4 linked regions of the Schizosaccharomyces pombe genome follow. The gene in region 1 interacts genetically with each later gene. Each region holds a gene or a part of one and is shown on either strand. Other genes may lie near its edges. The genes, in order: rad55, dad5, rhp16 and psm1.

The links.
Region 2: mutations in rad55 (region 1) and dad5 impair growth when combined (synthetic growth defect), as found in Schizosaccharomyces pombe (one study listed by BioGRID).
Region 3: mutations in rad55 (region 1) and rhp16 impair growth when combined (synthetic growth defect), as found in Schizosaccharomyces pombe (one study listed by BioGRID).
Region 4: mutations in rad55 (region 1) and psm1 impair growth when combined (synthetic growth defect), as found in Schizosaccharomyces pombe (one study listed by BioGRID).

What each region holds. Positions count from the first base shown.
Region 1 is NC_003424.3:2,065,734-2,070,073, reverse strand, and holds rad55 (DNA recombination mediator, RecA family ATPase Rad55/Rhp55), read left to right. Parts: upstream 1-2,159; 5' UTR 2,160-2,309; coding exon 2,310-2,325; intron 2,326-2,369; coding exon 2,370-3,406; 3' UTR 3,407-3,632; downstream 3,633-4,340. Other genes in the region: SPOM_SPAC3C7.04 (transcription factor), read right to left, coding at 1-1,310; eisosome BAR domain-containing protein Pil2, read left to right, coding at 4,070-4,340. UniProt on the Schizosaccharomyces pombe protein: Required for radiation resistance and meiotic viability and acts in recombination and recombinational DNA repair pathways.
Region 2 is NC_003421.2:1,669,367-1,673,251, reverse strand, and holds dad5 (DASH complex subunit Dad5), read left to right. Parts: upstream 1-2,389; 5' UTR 2,390-2,646; coding exon 2,647-2,931; 3' UTR 2,932-3,308; downstream 3,309-3,885. Other genes in the region: SPOM_SPCC417.03 (uncharacterized protein), read right to left, coding at 888-1,009, 1,201-1,249. UniProt on the Schizosaccharomyces pombe protein: Component of the DASH complex that connects microtubules with kinetochores and couples microtubule depolymerisation to chromosome movement; it is involved in retrieving kinetochores to the spindle poles before their re-orientation on the spindle in early mitosis and allows microtubule depolymerization to pull chromosomes apart and resist detachment during anaphase.
Region 3 is NC_003421.2:101,434-108,695, forward strand, and holds rhp16 (ATP-dependent helicase), read right to left. Parts: upstream 4,352-7,262; 5' UTR 4,304-4,351; coding exon of another isoform or gene 4,247-4,303; 5' UTR 4,144-4,246; coding exon 1,252-4,143; 3' UTR 991-1,251; downstream 1-990. Other genes in the region: raf1 (CLRC ubiquitin ligase complex WD repeat subunit Raf1/Dos1), read right to left, coding at 1-738; rhp7 (DNA repair protein), read left to right, coding at 4,247-4,303, 4,352-5,986; SPOM_SPCC330.19C (uncharacterized protein), read right to left, coding at 6,572-6,824, 6,885-6,904. UniProt on the Schizosaccharomyces pombe protein: Involved in global genome repair (GGR) via nucleotide excision repair (NER), in conjunction with rhp7, after UV irradiation.
Region 4 is NC_003423.3:2,538,562-2,545,657, forward strand, and holds psm1 (mitotic/meiotic cohesin complex ATPase subunit Psm1/Smc1), read left to right. Parts: upstream 1-2,154; 5' UTR 2,155-2,181; coding exon 2,182-5,847; exon of another isoform or gene 5,848-5,893; coding exon 5,894-5,914; 3' UTR 5,915-6,596; downstream 6,597-7,096. Other genes in the region: histone H3-H4 chaperone, CAF assembly factor (CAF-1) complex subunit A Pcf1, read right to left, coding at 1-1,392; exonuclease I Exo1, read left to right, coding at 6,988-7,096. UniProt on the Schizosaccharomyces pombe protein: Involved in chromosome cohesion during cell cycle and in DNA repair. Central component of cohesin complex. The cohesin complex is required for the cohesion of sister chromatids after DNA replication.

The sequences.
Region 1 (4,340 bases):
CATTCGCTGTCCGCAATAGAAAGTGGACGTCCTGTAGCAATACTGATTAAGCGATCCATGGTATAAACCGACCACCATAGGCGATTACGAAGTTCTTTGGTCTTGGGATCAATATTTGGATTTTCACAGCTACGATGCAACCCGTTTGCGACAGCAGCAGATAAAGAAAGTCCGAAGTAAGTATAGGAACTCTTTTGGGAAAGTGTAGACTGAAGATACAACCCCATAAGTATGGAAGCCTGAACCAAGCTTGGTTTGCATTGCTGAATTACTTGTGGTAACAAAAGCCTAGCAGTATCAAAAAACTGTTTTCCTGGGTTGTCAAAAGGATTGCTAGCAGAACGAATTTCCATGTGAGCAAACATACTACCAAGTGCAAAGATCATCATTAGCAAGCAAAGAAAGCCAGGGTCAACGGATGGATTTTGGAAGCTCATGATAAGGTTTAAACGATAACGAAGTAATGTTTCATGGAAAAAGAAAAAATTTGCTTGAACATGGCCATAGAAAGATTTGATAAGAAAATCTGAAACTTCAGGAGGAGGGAGAAGACTCAGCGCTTTTTGAACAGCATTTACATCATGTTCATTCGGAGGATAACTGTGATGGGTATGGGAATACGCGCTCAGCTCGGAAAAAGAAGGATCGACAAGTAGTTCACTTTGAACAGAGTCAACGAATGCTTCACCAGCAGAAGCTCCTATATAACGGGATTCGCCGTTAGAGTCAACTTTTATTTTTCCAATTAATTTCATGATTTCGTCAACGCTTTGATCGCTAGCATCAGCATTGATTCCATTGTTCGTATCCTCTGCTACGACCGTTGGATCTTGCTGAATTTGTGAACAAACAAGTGCACCTTGTGTAAGGGTATCCACGTCACGTTGACTATTGGTGCTTTCACTATTGAGGGAAAAGACATCTGAAGATAATAGTGATTTTTGGTTGCTTATACGATTGCAAACTTCAATCAATGAAGGTGTAGTATAAGTCGAAACTTTGGTGGAACAAAGACGTTCAACAATATATTCTAAACACTTGTATCTTTTTGAAAGATCAATAAAGTAGTCCTTAGAATAATCCATTTCTTTTTCATCCTTTACTGGATATGTGCATTCCAAATTATTGGAAGCACAAGCTTTGCATGGGTTTGCCCCGTCGCAACGAACTTTCCGGGCTTTGCAGTTAAAGCAGGCTAGAACCACCCTTCTTCGTCTCTCCATAGGAACACGACGTCTCCTATTATGCTGCTCCTGCTTCATGGCTTCGAACAGAACCGCCGTATTTTCAGGTGAAAATTCATGGCTCATTTTCCCCGTTTATGTTAGTAAAATACCAAGTTCATACCAATTTCCATAAATTTAAAATTCTTTTTCTATATTACAGAATTTCAATTCTGAAAAGAGAAAATGCTTAACTATGGCAATGACTTGGCAGAACTTGATTAGTAAATGCCTAAAAGAAAAAATTGTAGTACCCCAGCTCCTATGTTCTACTGGAGGGCGTAATTTAGTGTAGTGGTACGAACCTTTTTTATCAACGAAATCTAATATATACACATATTATTAGTATATGAGACCTTGTTTATACATAACTTTAAGAAAAAATCTAACCGATTTTAAATTTTTGAAAAATAAATACTGCTTGTATTGTACTTTGAAAATGGGAACTTCCGTCAATTTCTTTTCGTTGACGAGCTTATACGTTTATTGAAGCATGGCATGCAATCGATTTTTGTTAATAATTTTCCATTTTAGTATTTCTTCAATAAAATGAGTATTGTGTACATAGTAAACTAATTGCACACATATCGGTCGACACGCTATTTCATAAACGGAATGTAGTACGAAAATAATAGCTATTTTGATTAAAACCCTCTTGAGTTTCAATACAAATGTAAATGTTGCGTTATATGAACCCAAAGTTTAAAGTTCAAAGTCAAAGGCAGTAATGAATCATAGATTCAAATGAACTTGAGCTTACTCTTGCATTCCTGTTGACCTACCTAGTCAAATTTCCCATTATGTATAAAGGTTACGAATTTGTTACCTTCTAATCTGCTTAACCTTAAGACTAAAATAATTTATTCCTTATAAGAAACAACATTTAATGAAATGATTGCAAAGTAAAACACGTAGGATTTCCTTTGTCGTTCTACCAACACCTCCAAACCTTACAACGTATCGTTGTTTCTCATGTAAAGGGAAATTTTCCTATATCCTTTTTATGCTGTTATCAATTTAATATAAACTGTATCGCTGTTATTCTAGTAGGTCGCACTGTGCTGGATTTAACCTTCATTGAAATAAATGCTGTCTAGTCAACGTATGCGACTTCCAGCCTAGCTAACTGTGTCTAATACTTTTTAGATCGTCTAGTGACTCAACCTGCTATTCGTGCGTACGAAGCATTTTCTGCTCCAGGTTTCGGCTTTAATTCAAAATTATTGGATGATGCGTTTGGAGGAAGTGGTCTTAAAAGAGGGTATATTTCTGAAGTATGTGGAGCACCTGGGATGGGAAAAACAAGTTTGGCTTTACAGATTACTGCAAACGCTCTTCTTTCCGGTTCTCGTGTGATTTGGGTCGAAACTTGTCAACCAATTCCCATGGAGAGACTTCGTCAACTATTAGACAATCACGTCCCTTCTTCCCAAGATGAAGAGGAAAAATGCGATACTGATGAGTTATTAAATCTTCTCGATGTTGTATATGCACCCAATTTAGTGAATATTCTAGCTTTTTTACGAAATTTCGATCAAGAAAAACATCTTAAAGAAATTGGATTATTAATTATTGACAACCTATCAATGCCTATTCAACTTGCATATCCAACCAGTCCAGAAGATTATGCTTATCTACGTCTTCGTCGTAATACCAGCAAAAAAAGCTCCCTTTCAGATTCATCTCAAAAAGAAAACACTTTGACGTTAAACAAAGAAAATGAGTTCTCGAGTAAAGACGACTCGAATTTTGCATTTCATAACTCCTCTACCAAAACAACAATAAACCGCAGAAAAAAGGCAATCGGTACAATCAGTTCTTTGTTAAGCAAAATTACATCCTCTTGTTATGTGGCTATCTTTGTTACCACCCAGATGACTTCAAAAGTTGTTAGTGGGATAGGTGCTAAGTTGATACCGCTTCTCAGCACTAATTGGTTAGATAATCTATCTTATCGGCTCATTCTTTACAGTAGGCATTCAACTGAAGAATCAAAAGATGGACAGAGTCGTCCCTCTCATCAGCTTCTGCGCTATGCATTCATGGCAAAGCAGCCACCAGCTCATTCTGCAGAATCAGAGTTGGCTTTTCAGTTAACATCTACTGGTATTCAGGATTATCAAAGTATTCCTACCAATAGCTCACAACGACGTAAGAGATCCATTTTGGAATGTGAGTCCTAGGTAAAAATGGTGGCTTCAGTTACGAATTTTTTAGCATAGTGATGGTTGTTTTGCCCATATCTATTAATTTATTATACCTATTCATTACGTTGCATAAACAACTATGAATACTTGTCGAGTGTTGGTCAAAAGTTTCTCAATGATTTATTTGTGATCTCATATCTTTTCATAATGTATCATAAGCTATTTTGTTCGTTCATTTTTATGAAATTGCTAATTGTCATAGAGGAGGGAAATGATTAAGATATCTATATGTTTGCTGATTGACAAGTCCTTATTAATTTTCAATTGTTTAGGTGTCGCATTCAGTGTACGGACAATAATGACATTATGCTTTCGACATATAAATTCCATGTTGACATAGTGACGTCTCAAGCCTAGCTCAAATCTTTAAAACATGGGTTCAAGTCGCTAAAAATCTACCTGAACTTTACAGCTCTTTTGTTACTTTCGAAAGTGTAGTCTAATAAGTCCATTTTGAGCCTGACCTTATTTATACTTCGCTTTGTCTAGTGTGAGTTGGCGGATTAAGTATGTTTTAATGAACATTGTTTCAACCTACCTCTAATTAACATACTAACCTTTTTATTAGTATTTCCTTTCTCTTTTTATATATACATATTTTCAAAGTCTTAAATCGTTTATCAAGTAATTAGCAAGATGATGGGCACTCAACCATCTTACTCTATTCATACGCTTCGCGCGCCTCCTAAAGCGAAACAGAATCAAATTCCTCCCTCTACTACCCGTCGTGCAGTAAATGTTAATAAACTCGGCAGACAATTCCGTTATCCATCTGTGGGTATGTTTACTCCCGAAATGGCTAAACGCCTTGCAGCTCTCGTTAAGATGGAAAAGGATTTACTTCGATCTTATGAAAACGTTGCCATGGAGCGCAAAGAATGTGCCAATCAACTTTCGTATTGGGGTGAAG
Region 2 (3,885 bases), on another chromosome or scaffold:
ACTGGGCCAACTAAGCAAGTCATGTTTGATAGGCGATTTCTCAGCCAAAGTGGGTAGACTGTATTTGTATGGTTTTGATCATTTTTGGTACTAGTCAGTTTCATGTAAAGTTTGGATTTAATTATTGGGTTTGACTCAAATCTCAATTTCATATTTGTGTTAATGTTAGTTTCATTCATATACTTTCGTCAGCATTTGTTTATGAAATTTCATGTTTCTTTTGCGAGCTCTTTTACTACTGCCCCATCTAGTCTGCATCCGTTCTCATTATCAAGAAATACTGCGGTACTGGTGCGAGGGTAGATGATTATCAAGGTAGGATGAAAATCCGCTCCACAAAGTTGTTAGTGATAAGTGGTAAAAGACGGTATGTGTTTGAGGTAACCATAATCGCCAAGATAGACAAGATGCAAGTGGAGCATTGTCGGCGTTAAAGTTAGTATTTTGATTTGTTTGAGCTATCAACATGAGTAAGTGTGCGGCGGCAGGCGAGTCGCAAAAGGAAAAAAAAAAGCCTTCATTTAGTTATCAGAGCATCGCCGACGTATACCTTTTTTCCATTGATAAATTTGTGTTAGTCAGTGCAGTTGTTCAACACAATCGGTCCTCCGTTTATCGGTAGCTCTTTTTTGCACTTTGACAAAGCACAAAATTCGTTTACATGCAATCATCTATTACGGATGTAAATGTCCGTCATAATCAAAGGAATGCCAACAACGCCAAGTGAAAGCGAGATGAGTTGGGAAAATAGGATCGCAATTTGACATTCCTACGTCTTCCTACGTCTTTCTTGGAATGAAGTAATCAACTCTTCGTAAATTAGCAGGGACGAGGAAAATATGCGACTGTTATCATTTTTAGCGCAATAAGGATAAGAAATGAGTGATTTAGGAAATAAGCAACTGGGAGATATCCATTATCACTTCCATAAGCGATAATGATAAACCGCAGGAAAAACACGTGTGAGCATGAAAAAGGGTATATATACATAGACGGAAAGGGGCTTCATCTTTTCTTTTTCTTTTGTTAGGGGCGTGGTGAATGGAAGTATTTCTTTGTTTTATGGGGAAGCGTACAAAATTGTGAAACGAAACGATGTATGTGTATGGAGTGTAGGAGTCATTCATTTTCATGAAAGAAACTATAATAAAAATGGGGTATATGATTAGAAAGGGATGAGTGAATGTTTGAAAAAATTACTTATAAAATGGTAATGAATATGATTAGAAAAAGCGGTATGAGGAAGCATGGTTACTAAATGAACCAACTTGATTATATAAAAAAAAAGAAACAAATTAAAAACTAATTTTCATCTAACTCAGGAATTCCTCCTTTGAAAATAGCCAAACATTAACTAAAAAAATTAAAAAAAAAAAAAGTAGAAAAAAAATGTAAATATTACAAATACTTCCCAAACTCCCATAAAGCATTCTATGACGATTTCCTTACACCAAGCAATTTTCCTGTTGGATTTTATTTGTCTCGACTGGTTTGTGTATCCCTGTTTCCTTTCTTTTGTTTCCAAGAGAATCATTTCCAGGGAATTGATACATTTGTCCATGCTAAGATAAAATCCATTGTTCGGTCAACTCACTTCCGATATATCTGAAACGAAAAAACAAAACCTGATTAGAAAAGCTATATGTTTTCACATATAAGAAGACTATATGTCAAACCCCATCCTAGCGTCGATATGAAATGGAACTCTGTGAAATGATAGATGTGGGGGACCTAAAAGATAAACCCCAGTGTAGTGAAATCTCGATGCTTTTGAAACTGAATAAAACCCGAGGATATTAAGACAAGTAGTTTATTAAAAAAAAAGGTTTTCCGATCGTAGTTGAGTAAAGTTTGAAAATTCAAACAATAATTAAAACAACGGATGCACATCACGCTGCTGCGTCTTCTCTTGCACGGACATTGACTTCCGTATGTAATTTGTCTAACGATCGTGCTCTTTCCATTTCTTTTTTCCTTTAAAATACTCATTTGCCTATCTTCCTCATAAGATGCCTAGCATGTCGAGCTTACGGAGAATTTTTATTTCCTTTGATTTGGACAAAGCACCTCATCCAACATGATTGTGATCGGAGCTTTGGAGCACTTTTCATCAGTTCCGTCTTCATCCTCCTTCTACACTTCCATGGAAATTATGCAAAACTTGATAATTCCATCCTTACCAATAATTTTGCCTATTTCCACGGAACTGACCCGAAAAATTTAGCAAAAGGAACGATTTCGGTATTACTTATTAGCTTGGAAATTATGTCTCGCTAAACCATATAACGAAAGTTTGGTTTTTTATCAGTAAGCGAAAAATTTACCGTCCCCCTTTTCCTTCTTGTCAGCTACATAAAAGATAGGTGCGCTGCGCTGGTCGCCTTTTTCTGCCACTCTTTCCACGCTATTTTACGCTCTTATTCATTTTTGAGGAATACTAACGTCGGCCGGTATTGTTGGAAATCGCTGCAATTTGTTAAATTGAAATACCACTCAAGTGGGTAATGGTCTCCTTTAATTGTCGATACTGAAGGTTGATTGCATTTTAGTGCGGTGTCTTAAAAGCTGCACTCGCCCATCACACACGCGTTTGGTTTGTTTACCTTCCATCTACCTGTCTGCCTTCTTTCACTTTCACCTTACACCATGCGTCGTTCTACCATTGTGCCAACTAGTCGAACAAGCAGTTCATCTCCATCTCCCAGTCAAATGAAAAGCTTTCAAATGAATCGTTTGGTGGACCAACTGTCCAAGTTGCAATCCAACATGTCTCATTTGGAAAACCACTTACATGTTACCGCAATTCAAGCAGAAGCCATCCGACGTCTTGGTGCTCTTCAGGCCTCGCTTCTGATGGCGTCTGGTCGCGTTATGTCCGAAGCGAGGATTCAAAAGTCTTCAGATGCTGTGGAAGAAGACGTTCCTATGTGAGTCTCCAACTTTTTTGATGCAGACCTCAAATGACAATGATAAAAAGGAGAATACAAGAGACAAAGTGCCCCAATGAAGGAGAAATATAACAGGAAAGGAAGTAGGAATGTGCTCTTTCTTAATTAGATGGGGCTATTTCTTATTTTACTGCAACAATGCGGTATTTGGGGCTTCTTTCAATATGTGGGTGTTGGAGTTGTATCAACTATGCATCCGGAATACGGCTTTTCGGCATTTTACGCTATGGGAGTTTTGCGACTCTCGGGCTGCACTCCCGAAACCTATGTTACTGCATTGTACGATGCAGTTCTGTAAAAAATAGCAGGCTAAAAGAGGGTGTTCTAGTTCGTCTAATAAGTGATCTCGTTCATTGGTCAGCTCGGTCGGCTAAGTAACCAAGGGAAACTGCAAAAATTGGATACCAGAAATGATTGGTCAATTGCGCTTCACAAAACAGTCAGTGTACCAATCATATGGTTTTTATTTGAGATAGCGCACAATCATTGGATAGCTAGCTAAAAAAAGGTAAAAGTGGTTCCTTTCGTTAGGCTTCTTTATTTTCACCTTACGATTTACCGAAGAGAGCTTCTTCGACCTCGCTTAGATGGGTGTGAACAACGCCGTCCCTTTGCCAACCTCAACGAAAAAAGAAAAGCAGGTTGTACTAATTTTAAACGTTTCAAACGATTTTGTAAATTGATTTCTTTAAGCTTTGGCTCCTCCTTATTACATACCTAATCAATAAATATCTGTTTTCTTTTGCAGTTTCTTCTTTTTTTGCTCTCTTCCAGGGAAAACGGAAATTTGATTTGAGGAAGCCATAGCGCCACCATTCCCCAATCTGTCTACAAATTACTTTTTTTTGTTCCACCACACCTCTGGATTGTATTCTAGCTTATATCTGTTTTATTTTTCTATATTTGTTTTGGTATTTTAGTTCGTTTTTGTTGTTTT
Region 3 (7,262 bases), on another chromosome or scaffold:
AACGCACACTGTATCCCCACTAGTTTCATTGAAATGTTTCCAAGGTTTTAAAAAGAAAACTGATTCCCCGTCCATAAGTTGATGAACTTGTTCTCTTTGGAAGTAAGATGAGCCTGCATTGTAAAAGGATTTTAAGTAATCTGGAAGTAATTTTTTATTCTTCTTGTATGTTCGTAAAATGATGGCCCCATGTTTGTCCACAGGAGACAAGCTGGGGTTATCAATTTCAAATTTCTGGCAATCTTCATATGCTCGTCCAGGAAGTTTTGGAGAAATGTGGGTCGAATAAGCATCATTGAACTGAACACTGTTTACCGGTCCAAATTTTAGTTTAGCTTCTTGTAAAATAAAGCATTCCTCTGGTGTAAAATCAACATGAATGAGTGATGGTTTATCATCGCCTGTAATGCTATTTGAAAGTAAATGAGTGTGTTTTCTCACTCTTTCACTCAAATAAGGACGTGAATTAGGTAAGAATGTCCCAGACGTTAGTAAAAGTTGCAATTCTAATCGTTTATTTACATTTGATGGAACTTTTGCAATTGAATGCTTCGATATTGATAATGACGGTTTCGGGCAAGGTAGCTCTGCGCGATAAAAAGGATCATAAATCTCAAATTCTTCCTCAAAAAATTCTTCGTTATTTGTGTCAAAGTCAACCTTGGGCAATTTAGAAGAGACGGAATGCAAATATTGCGTATCCGTTCTTCTTTTCACCCGTGGTGAACTATTAGTCATGCCATAAATAGGAAATTGTTTGAGAAATTATTGGGCTTTTTACTTTTAATCCTTCAGTGTGCAAGTTCACTAGTTTAACAGAAGTTATGGGTTGCTGAGTGAGTTTAAGGCACTGATTGATATAAAGAATTTACTAAGTCCAAAAAGTATAAAGACATTCCAAAATCGAAAATATTATATTAAAATTGAAGATATAATGATTATCTATTGAGTTACTATTATTACAAATTTATCAGTCAAAGGTAAGTTAATGACTTTACATTGAAGCGATAAAATCTTAACTATGTTTAATTTGTTTTAAAAAACTTTAACCGTTCTATTGACAACTCAATAATAAATTATATCCATTAATAGGAATCCCCAAAAAAATAAATAAACTTCCAAAACGCATATACTGACTTAGGGAATTACGGTCCAAAAAACTAGGATAACAAAAAAAATGCAAAGGGAGATATGGCAGGTATATAAAAAGGAAACGGCCAAAATTTGGGCTAATTTTAAAAAAACAAAATTCTAATTTGAGAACAAGAATTGCATATCCTCGACAGAAAGCTGGTTCAAAGCCTTTTCGTCTTGATCTATGGTTGCATGTATCATCTGAGCTTTCTTTTCTTGTAGTTCAATAATTTTGCTTTCAATGGAATTTTCAATACACAGGGTAATTACTTTTATCGGCCTTTTTTGTCCAATACGATGAATTCGATCCATTGCCTGCCACTGTACAGCTCCATTCCACCAAGGATCCATCATAAACACTTGAGATGCCTCTGTAAGGTTCAAAGCAACACCACCTGCTTTCAACGAAACTAGAAAAATGGTAATATTAATATCGTTACTGAAAGCCTCAATAGTAGCTGCTCTCGCTTTGGGGGTCATACCACCATCTAGCTTTACACAATTAAACCCGGCTTTTCGAAGTCGCCAATGAATGAGATCTAACATAGAAGTAAATTGAGAGAAAACAATCGACTTCAGTGTTCGGTCCTTCTTACGAAGTAAGTAAAGCTCCTCAACTAATGCTTCAATTTTTGTAGATGAACGCCAACTATTCATATCAATTCTATTCAAAATCGATGCATTCTTAAACTTCTCTTCAGAAAAATCTTCTAAAGCAGGGGCACTAAGATCTATGCTTAAGGGAATGAAACAACTTGGACAGTTGACATTTTCTCCATCACCAGCTGCATTGATATATTCCGTAACGCAGAGTCGACAAAATGTGTGATGGCAACGTGATTCTATAGCATCTTGAGCGACTTCGTCACAAATCTTACAGACGATATTTTCCTGATTTTCAATATCAACTGTTTTTCGTTTGCTAGCTAACACCAGGTCAGGATGATCTGCCATTTGGCGCATTCGTGTAATTAGCTGGAAAATGTTTGCATAATTATTCAAAACGACACCTTCAGCAAGATATGTATTAAATTTTCTTTTTGAATCCATATATAAAGATTGGTATACATCTTCCTCTTCTTCGTTGAATAAATCTTTCCTCACTTCAACGACTCGAGGAGGTAATCCAAGGTCATCAGCCCTCTCTAATTTTGTTCGACGTAACATAATGTGTTTTAATAAAGAATGCACCTTTTTAAAAGCTAGCTTTCCTGGACCTTCGTATCCAAACTTTTGTATTGGTTTTAGCATTTCAGCGTTAAAATAGCAAGTATGACTCATTGGTTTATGGCCGCATTCGTCGCAATTACTTCTATCGGAAAATCTCCAGTGCAGAGATTTACATTCACATTGCAAGCAATAGTAGTAAGCAAAAGGATCTGCCCGTAGGAACCGAAGAAGTGAAAATAATTCTCCAATACGGTTTTGCAAAGGTGTTCCTGAAAGACATATCTTTCTTGTCGTTCTTAAGCCACAAACAGCTCTGGCAGTGTTACAAGTCCTTGATTTGATACCATGGGCCTCATCAAGTATAATTCGGTAAAACTCCATTTGATGAAGTAATGACTTTTCTTTTACAACACCGTTTTTCCTTCTGAATCCGCTGCGTTCCTTCCTGTAAACTGATTCAATTACATTGTAACTCGTTAGTACAACATCATAGCTCGAAAGCTCTTCTCCTGAAATATCACGAGCCTGGCCATAATAAAGATATGTACTCAGTGCTTTATTGGTATGTGTATCAATCTCTTCTTTCCATTGCATAATTGCTACAACCGGAGCAACAACCAAGGTTGGCTTACCTCGAGGTTCTGAAAGCAACAACGCAATTGTTTGAATAGTCTTACCCATACCCATTTCATCGGCCAAGATTCCTCCACCAAAAGAGGAATCTTCTTGTCGTTTTAACCAATATACACCTTCTCGTTGAAAAGGGAGAAGGTTTAGGACCAACTCTTTGGGTTGCTCGATCTGTTTCACTTCACGAGGTGCTTCTTCTTCCAATTTCTCCCAAACATGTTCTAGTTCAGGATGTTGTCGAATCAGACGATAATGGGTTCTTTCATGTGATGGAATTGATTTTGCTTGTGTTCTAGAGGAAGAGGACGCGGAAGAAGAAGCCCTAGCGGATACCCTCCTTCGTTTGGACTGGTAACTTAAAGGGATTGACTCTTCATCACTTTCCGTAGAAGAACTTGGAGCAGCTTCTGGAATTTCTACTTTACTATCAAAAGTTTCATCCTCTTTGATATCAATTATGCTAGCAACTTCATCACTTTCATCATCATCAATAAATTCGGATTCATTAGATTCTTCTGGAGATGACAATGGCACAAACTTTTTTTTCAAATTCGAGGACCTTAATGAACGTTTTCTGGCACTAGAAAAACCTGTATTGGGATTTGCTTCTACATTGTCTGTGCTGCTACCGGTGTGTGTACTGGTATCAGAAATGGATAATGGGGGTGTCGAATGTTGAGATGAGGTGTTGTTTGACTGGATAATCAATTTTTTGTTTGTTGACAGAGGTTCTTCAAACTCTTTTCCGTTCCAGCGCGTTGTCTCCATATCTAACTTGTCGTCACGCTCGACTTGTTGATTTGAAGCATTCCCCTTTGAATCACCATTATCATCTAGAACAAAATGCATATTTTCTTTTCCCTTATTACTATTCGAGTTTATTTTATTACATGACGTCCCCATTTGTGAATGTAAATTGTTTTCAACCACTTCCTCATCTTCACTTTCTACAATAATGCCCGCAATGGGAGAAGATGACCATTCATCTTGATTGCCTGGTACATCATGAATGTTATTTATCTCTGAATAAGTAGTAGAAAATGGAGCCTGCCCATTACTTTGCTCATCATTATTGTCTGCTTGAAGAGACGCCTGAGTAGTATGGTTATTGCGAGTATTTTTCCAATTTATGGAATCAATTGTATCGTTTGAATTAATATCTACAGCTTCATTTTGTAATTGGTCCACTTTTAGAGTAGATATATGCATAGTAGTGGTTGGTATGAGACAAGTTGCCACGCGATCTGAAGCGATTTAATTAAACTCAACCACACTTCCACCTTATCCTCAGCATACTAAGGATTTCTTTAAAATGTCAAGTGGAAGTCGGGTGAGAGGGCCAAATTCTGCTTTAACAGAATTTTTAAGAGTATGTGATGACTCTTTCTTAGCTCGGAGTTACTAATGCATTATTCAGTCTCAAGGTATCAATGCTTCAGCATTAGGACGTGCTCGTCCTCCTCGTCAAAGCGAGGAGTCAGCAGGGCAATCGACTGGGACAGAATCAGAAGTTATTCAAACACCGACTTCTGTTGAAGAAAACAACGAAGATGAAAACTCGATGTCGACAACGACAATTGAGATACCAGTAGTGAAACGACGAAATCTACGAAATCAAAAAAAGAAGAAGAAAACGGATGAAGAAGCTGAAGACAACGAGGACACTTTTTCAATGAATTCAAGAGCTGGGTTTTCTTATAAAGCAAGGGAGCATACGGGCAAACTAGATTTTTGCGCACACTGTAATTGTCGCTTTACAATAACCCCATACAGCAAATACAGCAATTCAGAGAAAGGGTGGCTATGTTATCCTTGTAGTCGTGGTGCTGAAGATCGATCGGTACCTGAATTAAGGACGAGAAAAAGAAAAGCATTGACCCGTAAAAAGGTGGCTGCCGCTACCATGGACGAAGAAATCAGTGTTCCTAAGCTTCAGGATTTGTGTATACGAGTTATTGCTGAATACATAAATGATATCGAAGCTTTTGGGGATATTGGCCAAGTGAATATGGACAAAATTAGCCAAATAATTTCAAAAAACCGCTCTCTTAACGATACTACTGTGAAATTATTCTTAAGTGGGGGTCAAACTGAATTAAAACTATATGATTGCTCAAAGATTACAGCAGATTCACTTTTCCAAATTGCTCAATACTGCCCAAATCTTCAAACTTTGCATCTTACTTATTGTGGTCAAATGCAGGATCAAGTTTTACACTTTTATGCGGATCATTTGACTGAATTAACAGATGTATCTTTTCAAGGTGCCTTTTTGGTTTCTTCCTCAGAATGGATAAATTTTTTTAAAAAACGGGGTTCAAAGCTTATAAGTTTAGAGCTTACGGATACTGCCCGAATTCATGTTTCGGTTATCAACGCTATAGTTGACTGTTGCCCAAATTTGATTAGCCTTAATCTCTCTAGAATTTTCTATCTTGATGATGAATGCGTCCGTCTATTAGCTGGTTGTAGAAATCTTGTCAGTTTGAAGATTGAATCACCAGGCGGCATCATTAATGATGGAAGTATATTAGATGTACTAAACCAAATTGGAAGCGGTTTGCATACTCTTAGTTTATCTGGTTGTACAAAATTAACTGATGAAGTTTTGAAACAAGGTATAGGTCCTTGTTGTGGTCGTCTTAAGCATCTAAATTTAAGTGGTTTGGAACTGTTAACAGATGATGAGGCCTCTATAGTTTTTGGTGAATGGAAGATTCAGTCAGGCTTAGAAACATTGTCCTTAAGAAGGTGTCTGTCACTTGGAGATAAAACTGTTCGTGCAGTATTGGTTAATTCAGGGCATACGCTTCGCACTCTGGATTTAAATGGAATGTCGTTTGTGACTGATGAAGCATTACAGTATATTGTCAATTTTCCATTACCTATGCTAAAAGCACTTGATGTCAGCTGGATTCGTGGAATGAATGACAAATTGGTATGCGATTTTGAAAGCAAAAAGCCAACGCTTGAGAAGCTTTTGGTATGGGGAGATAATCATGTCCTGATGCCCTCAAATCGGTTACTTCTGATAGGGCGTGAAGTTCAATAAGGATGGAAATACTTTCTTTTTCAATTTTATCAAAGGTTTTGGTTGTTGAATTGGACCTGTAATTATTCTTTTGAAAAATTTAATGACTAGTACATTATTTAAATTATCACCTTATTTGATGGACACTAAGTTCCTTGAACAGCCTCAATCTCTTTTTGTGTCTTTCTGATATTATTCTTTAACGAATATTTGTATTTGAAACCTTTTTATTTTTAATTTTATTTATTTATTTATTTTCAAATTAGATGATATGGTCTGCGAACAAATAGCTAACCATTTCTTTGGGTAATGAATTATTTTTTTATTACCATTCCCTCTCTTTACGAATGGATCTCCGAATCATTTTTACACATAATCAAACAATTTAACTACCTTTTTTTAAAAAAAAAATCCCGCTGCTCTTTGTTGTAATACAAATATCAAGCAATGTAATTTTCAATCACCTTGATTTTATATAGCATAAGATTATGAATAGTACACTAATGGTATTGCTTGCCAGACTAAAGAGGTTTACTGCTGCTCGGAAACGCAAAGCTCATCAAACAAACATAAATATTTATCCTTTTTAAACTGCAAACATTCTTTTCAAACTGTAATATTCCAATCGCCCGACAAGTTGGGCATATGAAAAATCAAACAATTGAAAACACTGGTTATGCAAGTCGATTTGGCTATCTCACAATCCGCCAGAAAAGTATGCAAAAAATATATACAAGGGCAAAAAAAAGCAAAAAGCAAGACAAGCGGTATGAGATTAATAATAATATTGAGTTGTAAACCGAAAATATTGATTCTAATGCTTAATAATTCGAGTTTACGACTACGGTCATGAGCCTCACTATAAAGAAGAATTACTTAGTGAGCCGTTGATTTATTATAAAAGAATGATTAAACGTACCTTTTGTTCAAGACTACCATTCTCCATTAAAGATATGCGATTATCTTCCTCTTGATTAATATACATCTTGAAAGAGGCTATCTTCAAACCTGTGAAATATCAATTTATATAGAGCAAATGGTCAGAGAATGAATGGGCTTTCTTCCAGAAAACGAGTTCACTTAAGCCAGGCAGGCCCTAGTCCTTATATACTATCTATTTTGCAGAGCTAAAGGGACGATTGTTAAAGCGGAGATAATGTCAGCAATACTGGACTACTCTATGATACACCATGTTGCGTATTTCTATATGTCACAAGCTCTACATTGTATTATAGATACCCGTTGATAAAAACTATTAGTAAGATTGTAAATGGAGCTTCTACTGAACCTCGTTTCA
Region 4 (7,096 bases), on another chromosome or scaffold:
GGTAGGTCCAATTGTCATTCCACTAGACGCTGGAGCAGTATCTTGAGAAGCCCATAAATCCTCTTTAGGATCAATTTGGAGATATGTAGATGCTGAAAATGAACTAATGGGTTCAATTAAAGATAAGCAATTAAAGTCAGGAAGAAACTTTGAATCCCAAACCGGACCTTCTACGATTACCTCTAATGGGCCGGAGGAACGATGGGTATTAGAAGCATTGACACTATCCTTGTCATCATCCTCATCATCCACAAAAGCATTATCACCATCCTCTACAATATCATCGGAATTATCTACCTCTTCATCTTCACTTTCTAAATCTTCTCCATCATCTTCCTCATCAGCTACCCATTCTGCTTCTGAATCATATGTGTAGTCTATGTCTTCATCTTCAAGCCAGGGATTCAATAAAACGTTAGAACCATGGGAATGGGTTTTCGTGTAAGATCCAAAATATGGAGGGCGAACATCCTGATAAAAGAAAATGAATTTAATAGGAATCTGTGATAAACAAGATAAAATTTCTTGAGGTTTTGAAACAGATGGATCTTGATATGCGCTCATTAATTGTCGAACCTCGTTTTCGGAATTTCTATTACTAACACCTAAACTGTTTGCGGAGCTTACAGCATCTGATGGTGTAAAAATGTCGTTTAGCTTTAAAGGATAAGATTTAGAGGTTGAGAGGACTTCATCCAAAAAAGAATCAGATTCGTTCGGAGATGGATATTTGGAAAGGGACATCTGATGCTTTATAAAAAAAGGGCGAAACTCTTTCTCAAACTCATTCAGTTCATCCGTTTTGTCAGCTACAAAATTTTCGTTTGGCGCGATTCGTTTCTCAACTCCTTTGGTGAAAAAGTTGTTTAACTTCAATTGTTGTCTTTCCTTATTAAGGATTTGTTCTTGACGAAGGCGCTGTGCTTCTTCTTTCTCACGAAGCTTTTGATCCCTCTCCTCCTTCCGCCTTTGTTGTTCCTGCAATCGAATCCGCTCCTTCTCTAATTTCTCTAATTCTTTCATTTTCTTAGCGGCGATTTTTTCCTGTTCTCTTAGCTTTTTCTCTTGCTCTCGTTGTTGACGTTCCTTTTCACGTTTTAAACGCTCTGCTTCTTTTTGTCGAATCCTTTCCTCTTGGGCCCGCTGTTTTTGAAGCTTCTTTTCTTTACCCGCTTCAGCAGAGCCATTATAAATTCTTTTCTTTCTATTACCCTCATAACTTAATTTGCAAACGTACTCATCAGCTTCACTTGCAGAGTGACTGGAATGAATAACCGATTCATTCGGGGAACTCACTGATAAAGACGTAATGTCAGTGGAAGAGCTACATAACTCATTTCCCTTATTACTAGTAGAGGCCGCGACATCTGAATCAACACTTTCACTATTCATAGACAATGCTGCGAATATCAATAACAAGCCTAAGGGAGGCTAAAAACCGTGCGTAAGTTGTTTTAACGGACGCTCTGATCGAATAAAGAGGATAAAGGAGAGTTCGTAAATTATATGTTAATATTCTATTATATACATCACTATCCCAAATCTGTCTCACCAATCTATTATTCATCCATCTTAACGCTTATATAATTGAATAATTTAATTCCTTAGTTCTAACAAGATATGTACTGATTGATCTGAGTAGCTTAAACATCAAAGTTTTTTGCGAATGGGTTAATATGGTGATTTGTTATATATTTTACCTGACTACGATTATATAATATTACTGCTACATTGCATTACGATATTAATGTTAATATTTTATGGCTCATCTATATTATGATTGAGTTAATATCAGTTGACGAGAATTTTCTTTGAAATTATTTGCCATATTTTTTAACTGGTGATTGGAGTACCACAAATTCATTAATAATGAAACAAACGGATGTTGTTATCATCAATTTTCTTCCTATTTATATGCAGCAAACTTCTTTCAATAACGATGCATCGTACATATATAGGCAGGGGCTATGCAGCTTAGAATAGTAATTCGCTGGAAGGATAATATCATAATAACGAGGTTCTTGTTACAGTGAATATCAAGTTGCACTATATATTATATCGTGGATTTCTGAAACTTTATGAGATGTAATCGTAATGAGTAGGTAACAATATCTAATCAAGTAAAGACGCGTACGCGAGTTTCATACACACCTTGTACATTCCTTTTACCAAGTTTTCCTAATGGGACGTTTACTAAGACTGGAAGTTGAAAACTTTAAGTCTTATCGAGGACATCAAATTATAGGTCCTTTTGAGGACTTTACCTCGATTATCGGTCCTAATGGAGCCGGAAAATCGAATTTAATGGATGCCATTTCTTTTGTTTTAGGGGTCAAGTCTTCTCATTTACGATCAACTAATGTTAAAGAACTGATCTATCGGGGGAAAATACTGCAAAGAGATAATACAGATTTCACTGATTCTAGTAATCCTACTACAGCATATGTGAAACTTATGTATGAGTTGGATAATGGGGAGCAAAGAGAGTATAAACGCGCAATCACTCCTTCTGGTGCTACTGAATACAAAATTGATGAAGAAATAGTTACGTTTTCTGAATACTGCGGATCTCTCCAAAAGGAGAATATTCTTGTTCGAGCTCGAAATTTCTTAGTTTTTCAAGGTGATGTTGAAACCATTGCTTCGCAATCTCCTTTAGAACTTTCAAAGCTTGTTGAACAAATAAGTGGCTCTCTGGAATATAAATCTGAGTACGATAAATCTAAAGACGAGCAGGACAAGGCTGTAAATTTATCTGCTCATTCGTTTAACAAGAAACGTGGTATCAACGCTGAGTTACGCCAATATCAAGAACAGAAAACTGAAGCCGAGCGTTATCAAAGTCAAAAAGAAAAACGAGACTCTGCGCAGTTAGTTTACCTTTTATGGAAACTCTTTCATCTAGAGAAAAGTATTAGTTCTAATATGGCAGAGGTTACTCGATTAAAGGCAGATTCCATTCAACTTATCGAAAGGCGAGATGAGAACACTAAAGAGATAGAAAAGTTGAAAGAAAAAGAGGGCAGTATACGAAGAAACCTTCTTGCATTCGATAGAAAAGTTCGAAAACAAGAAAAGTTGATTGCTTCGAAACGTCCAGAGCTCATTTCAATTGCCGAGAAAGCCCTAGAGTCTAAGTCAAATCTCCGAAAAATTCAAAGAAAAGCTGCGGAAATAGAAAAAGATTATTCTGACCAAGCTAGTACGTTACAAGTATTAGAAAATCAATTGACTTCACTCTCAGCTGCTGAAAAAGAGTTTTTAAAAGACATGCAGGAAAAAGAGCAACTCAAAGGGTTGCGATTGTTACCAGAGGATAAAGAGGAGTATGAAGGACTTCGAAGTGAGGCGGACAAATTAAACTCAAATCTATTGTTCAAATTGCAGACGTTAAATAGGAATATTAAAGTTACTTCTCAATCAAAGGATTCATTAACGAGCATCGTTGGAGACTTAGAGTCGAAGATTAAAAGCCTTCATGAAAGTGTTTCTTCTCTTGATACCGAGCGAGCGGATTTGCTTGCTAAAATAAATGAAAAGATTGAAAGTTTGGAACTTGAAAAGCATGATCAGCAGAAGAAGAGGTTGACTTATTCTGAGCTTTTTCATAAAACACAAGAATTAAATGAAGAGCTTCAATCTTGTTTACAGAAAATTTTAGAGGCAAGTGCCGACCGCAATGAATCCAAACAGGATGCTAAAAAAAGAGAAGCATTGTATGCTTTGAAAAGGATATATCCTGAAGTCAAAGGAAGAATCATTGACTTATGTACTCCTACTCAAAAGAAATATGAAAGCGCAATCGCTGCTGCTTTAGGCAAAAATTTTGACGCAATTGTCGTCGAAACGCAGGCAGTTGCTAAAGAGTGTATTGACTATATAAAAGAGCAACGCATAGGTATTATGACCTTTTTTCCAATGGACACCATAGCAGCCAGTCCCGTTAATCAAAAATTTCGTGGAACACACAAAGGCGCCCGACTTGCAATTGACGTTTTGAATTTTGAGTCTGAATATGAACGTGTAATGATTAGTGCAGTTGGAAATACACTCATTTGTGATTCAATGACTGTTGCTCGAGACCTTTCCTATAACAAACGTCTCAATGCCAAGACAGTTACTTTAGAGGGAACGGTTATACATAAAACAGGGTTGATTACTGGTGGATCTTCAAACAACCGGTCGGCGAAACACTGGGATGACCATGATTTTGATCTGCTTACTCAAACAAAAGATAGACTTATGCATCAAATTGGTGAAATAGAATATCAAAAGTCATCTTGTGTGATTACAGAAAGTGATACTGTCAAGTTGCATAGTCTTGAATCTGAGATATCTCTACTCAAAGACAAATATACAGTAGTTTCTAGATCCGTGGAAGACAAAAAAAAGGAAATTGGACATTACGAATCTTTAATCAAAGAAAAACAGCCTCACTTGTCAGAATTGGAAATGGAACTTCGCAACTTTGTTAAAAGTAGAGATGAGCTTCAAATTCAAGTAGAAAAGGTTGAGGAAAAGATATTCTCCGGGTTTTGCAAACGAATTGGGATAAGTGATATACATACTTACGATGAGATACATCGCACTTTTACTCAAAGTTTTACACAAAAACAACTCGAATTCACCAAGCAAAAATCATTACTTGAAAATCGTATTAGTTTTGAAAAACAACGTGTTTCAGATACCAGGTTACGATTAGAGCGTATGCATAAATTCATTGAAAAAGATCAGGAATCTATTGATAATTACGAGCAAAATCGGGAAGCACTTGAATCAGAAGTTGCAACTGCCGAGGCTGAGCTTGAATTATTAAAGGAGGATTTTGCAAGTGAGAACTCTAAAACTGAAAAAATTTTATTAGCTGCATCCGAGAAAAAGCTAGTGGGCAAACGATTAGTGTCTGAGTTAACAAAGTTATCAGGAAACATTACTCTTTTAGAATCGGAGATTGACCGCTATGTATCTGAATGGCACGCAATTTTACGAAAATGCAAACTAGAAGATATAGATGTTCCGTTACGCGAAGGATCTTTGACGAGCATACCTATAGATGATGTCTCAAACAGCGGTGATATCACCATGGGCGAAGAGCCGTCTGAACCAGTAATAAATTTTGAGAAATTTGGAGTAGAAGTGGATTACGATGAACTGGATGAAGAGTTACGCAATGACGGTTCTGAGAGTATGGCTTCTGTTCTTCAAGAAAAATTGAGAGAGTATTCGGAAGAGCTGGATCAGATGTCTCCTAATTTAAGGGCTATTGAGAGACTTGAAACAGTAGAAACTCGCTTGGCGAAGTTAGATGAAGAATTTGCTGCTGCTCGTAAAGCAGCCAAAAACGCAAAAGAACGCTTCAATGCCGTTAAGCAAAAGAGATTGCAAAAATTTCAAGCTGCCTTTTCGCATATCTCGGAACAAATCGATCCAATATATAAGGAACTTACCAAAAGTCCTGCTTTTCCTCTTGGTGGAACAGCGTATTTGACTTTGGATGACCTCGATGAGCCATATCTTGGAGGAATCAAGTTCCATGCAATGCCACCTATGAAGAGATTTAGAGATATGGATCAACTTTCTGGAGGAGAAAAGACCATGGCTGCTTTGGCTCTGCTATTTGCTATCCACTCTTATCAGCCATCCCCATTTTTTGTATTGGATGAAATTGATGCAGCTTTGGATCAAACCAACGTTACCAAGATTGCCAACTATATTAGACAGCATGCATCCAGCGGTTTTCAATTTGTTGTCATTTCCTTGAAAAATCAGTTGTTCAGTAAATCAGAAGCTTTAGTGGGTATTTATAGAGATCAACAGGAGAATTCTTCACGAACATTATCAATCAACGTAAGGGATTACTTTTTCTTAATTTTAAAATACTAACGAAAAACAGTTGGAAGGTTATGTGGAGTAAATGATAATATTAACCTGTGATATGCTGCTTAATGTCTGTGTTAATATATTCTAAGAATACTTTATGTTTAATAGGGATGGCAAATATATATTTGCGTAATTTATTTATTTCTAACGAATTTAATTTTAATTGTTTTAAGTTTCCTTCTATAATTGATCAAGGACTTTTTTAATTTACAACGCTTTTTCTTTATGTCCTTAATTGATTTTGTCTCTGAATTGACTGGGCTAATGATAGAAACATTAATTATAAGTCACAATTGTCAGCTACGTTTATGTTTAATCCCTAGTTTCAAGGAAGTTGGGTTTAAGTGAGGTTAATGTTTTCAATATAATTCCAGTAACGCAGTTACGCTTAGACGATTCGGCTCACCCCTTGACTGTTTGTTAACTAATGAATTTGGCTGCATACAATTTTGAGAAGTCTCTACTATTCTAGAAGGCTTTCTCCGGAAACTAACTATTGCATTTTCCTTTTTAGTTTAACAGTATTTGCAGTCACAAACTAGCAAGAATACTTTTAAGAATAAACGTTTTATTAGCGACGAATAGTTTAAAATATGTTTAAACCCAACTAGATGCTAACCGCACTACATTTTTAAAACCGCAGCTTATAGAACTTTAAAATATTAATTTTGCGCTTGAGTTTTCCTCATACAGCTAAATTCAATGATTTGGTAATGGTTGATTGATTCACCGTAGTCTTAGTTAACAATCACGATAGATTTCAAACAAAGAACTTTAAAGAAAAAAACTTACTTATAGTATTATCATGATTTTAATGATTTCGATTGAATAGATGTTTAGAAAAGAAGTACACCAGCATACTCAAACAATGATAGCCGGCTCCTTAAATTATTTCACACATAAACAATAACAAAGCCTTTTATATTTATCCTTTCTTAATGATAAAGTAAATTTTATACTTGTTCGTTTTGGGCCTATCGACTGCAAGAATATATTTGTTGATCAGATACACAACACACTTCCAAGGGTACTACGTTAAAACTGTTACAGAACCAACATCTCGATAACGCACCTGCATTCTTTTGGTGCTTGACGAATGCTTTAAACATGGGAATTAAAGGTCTTTTGGGACTTTTGAAGCCTATGCAGAAAAGCTCTCATGTCGAGGAGTTTTCTGGCAAGACTTTGGGAGTTGATGGATATGTTTGGTTGCACA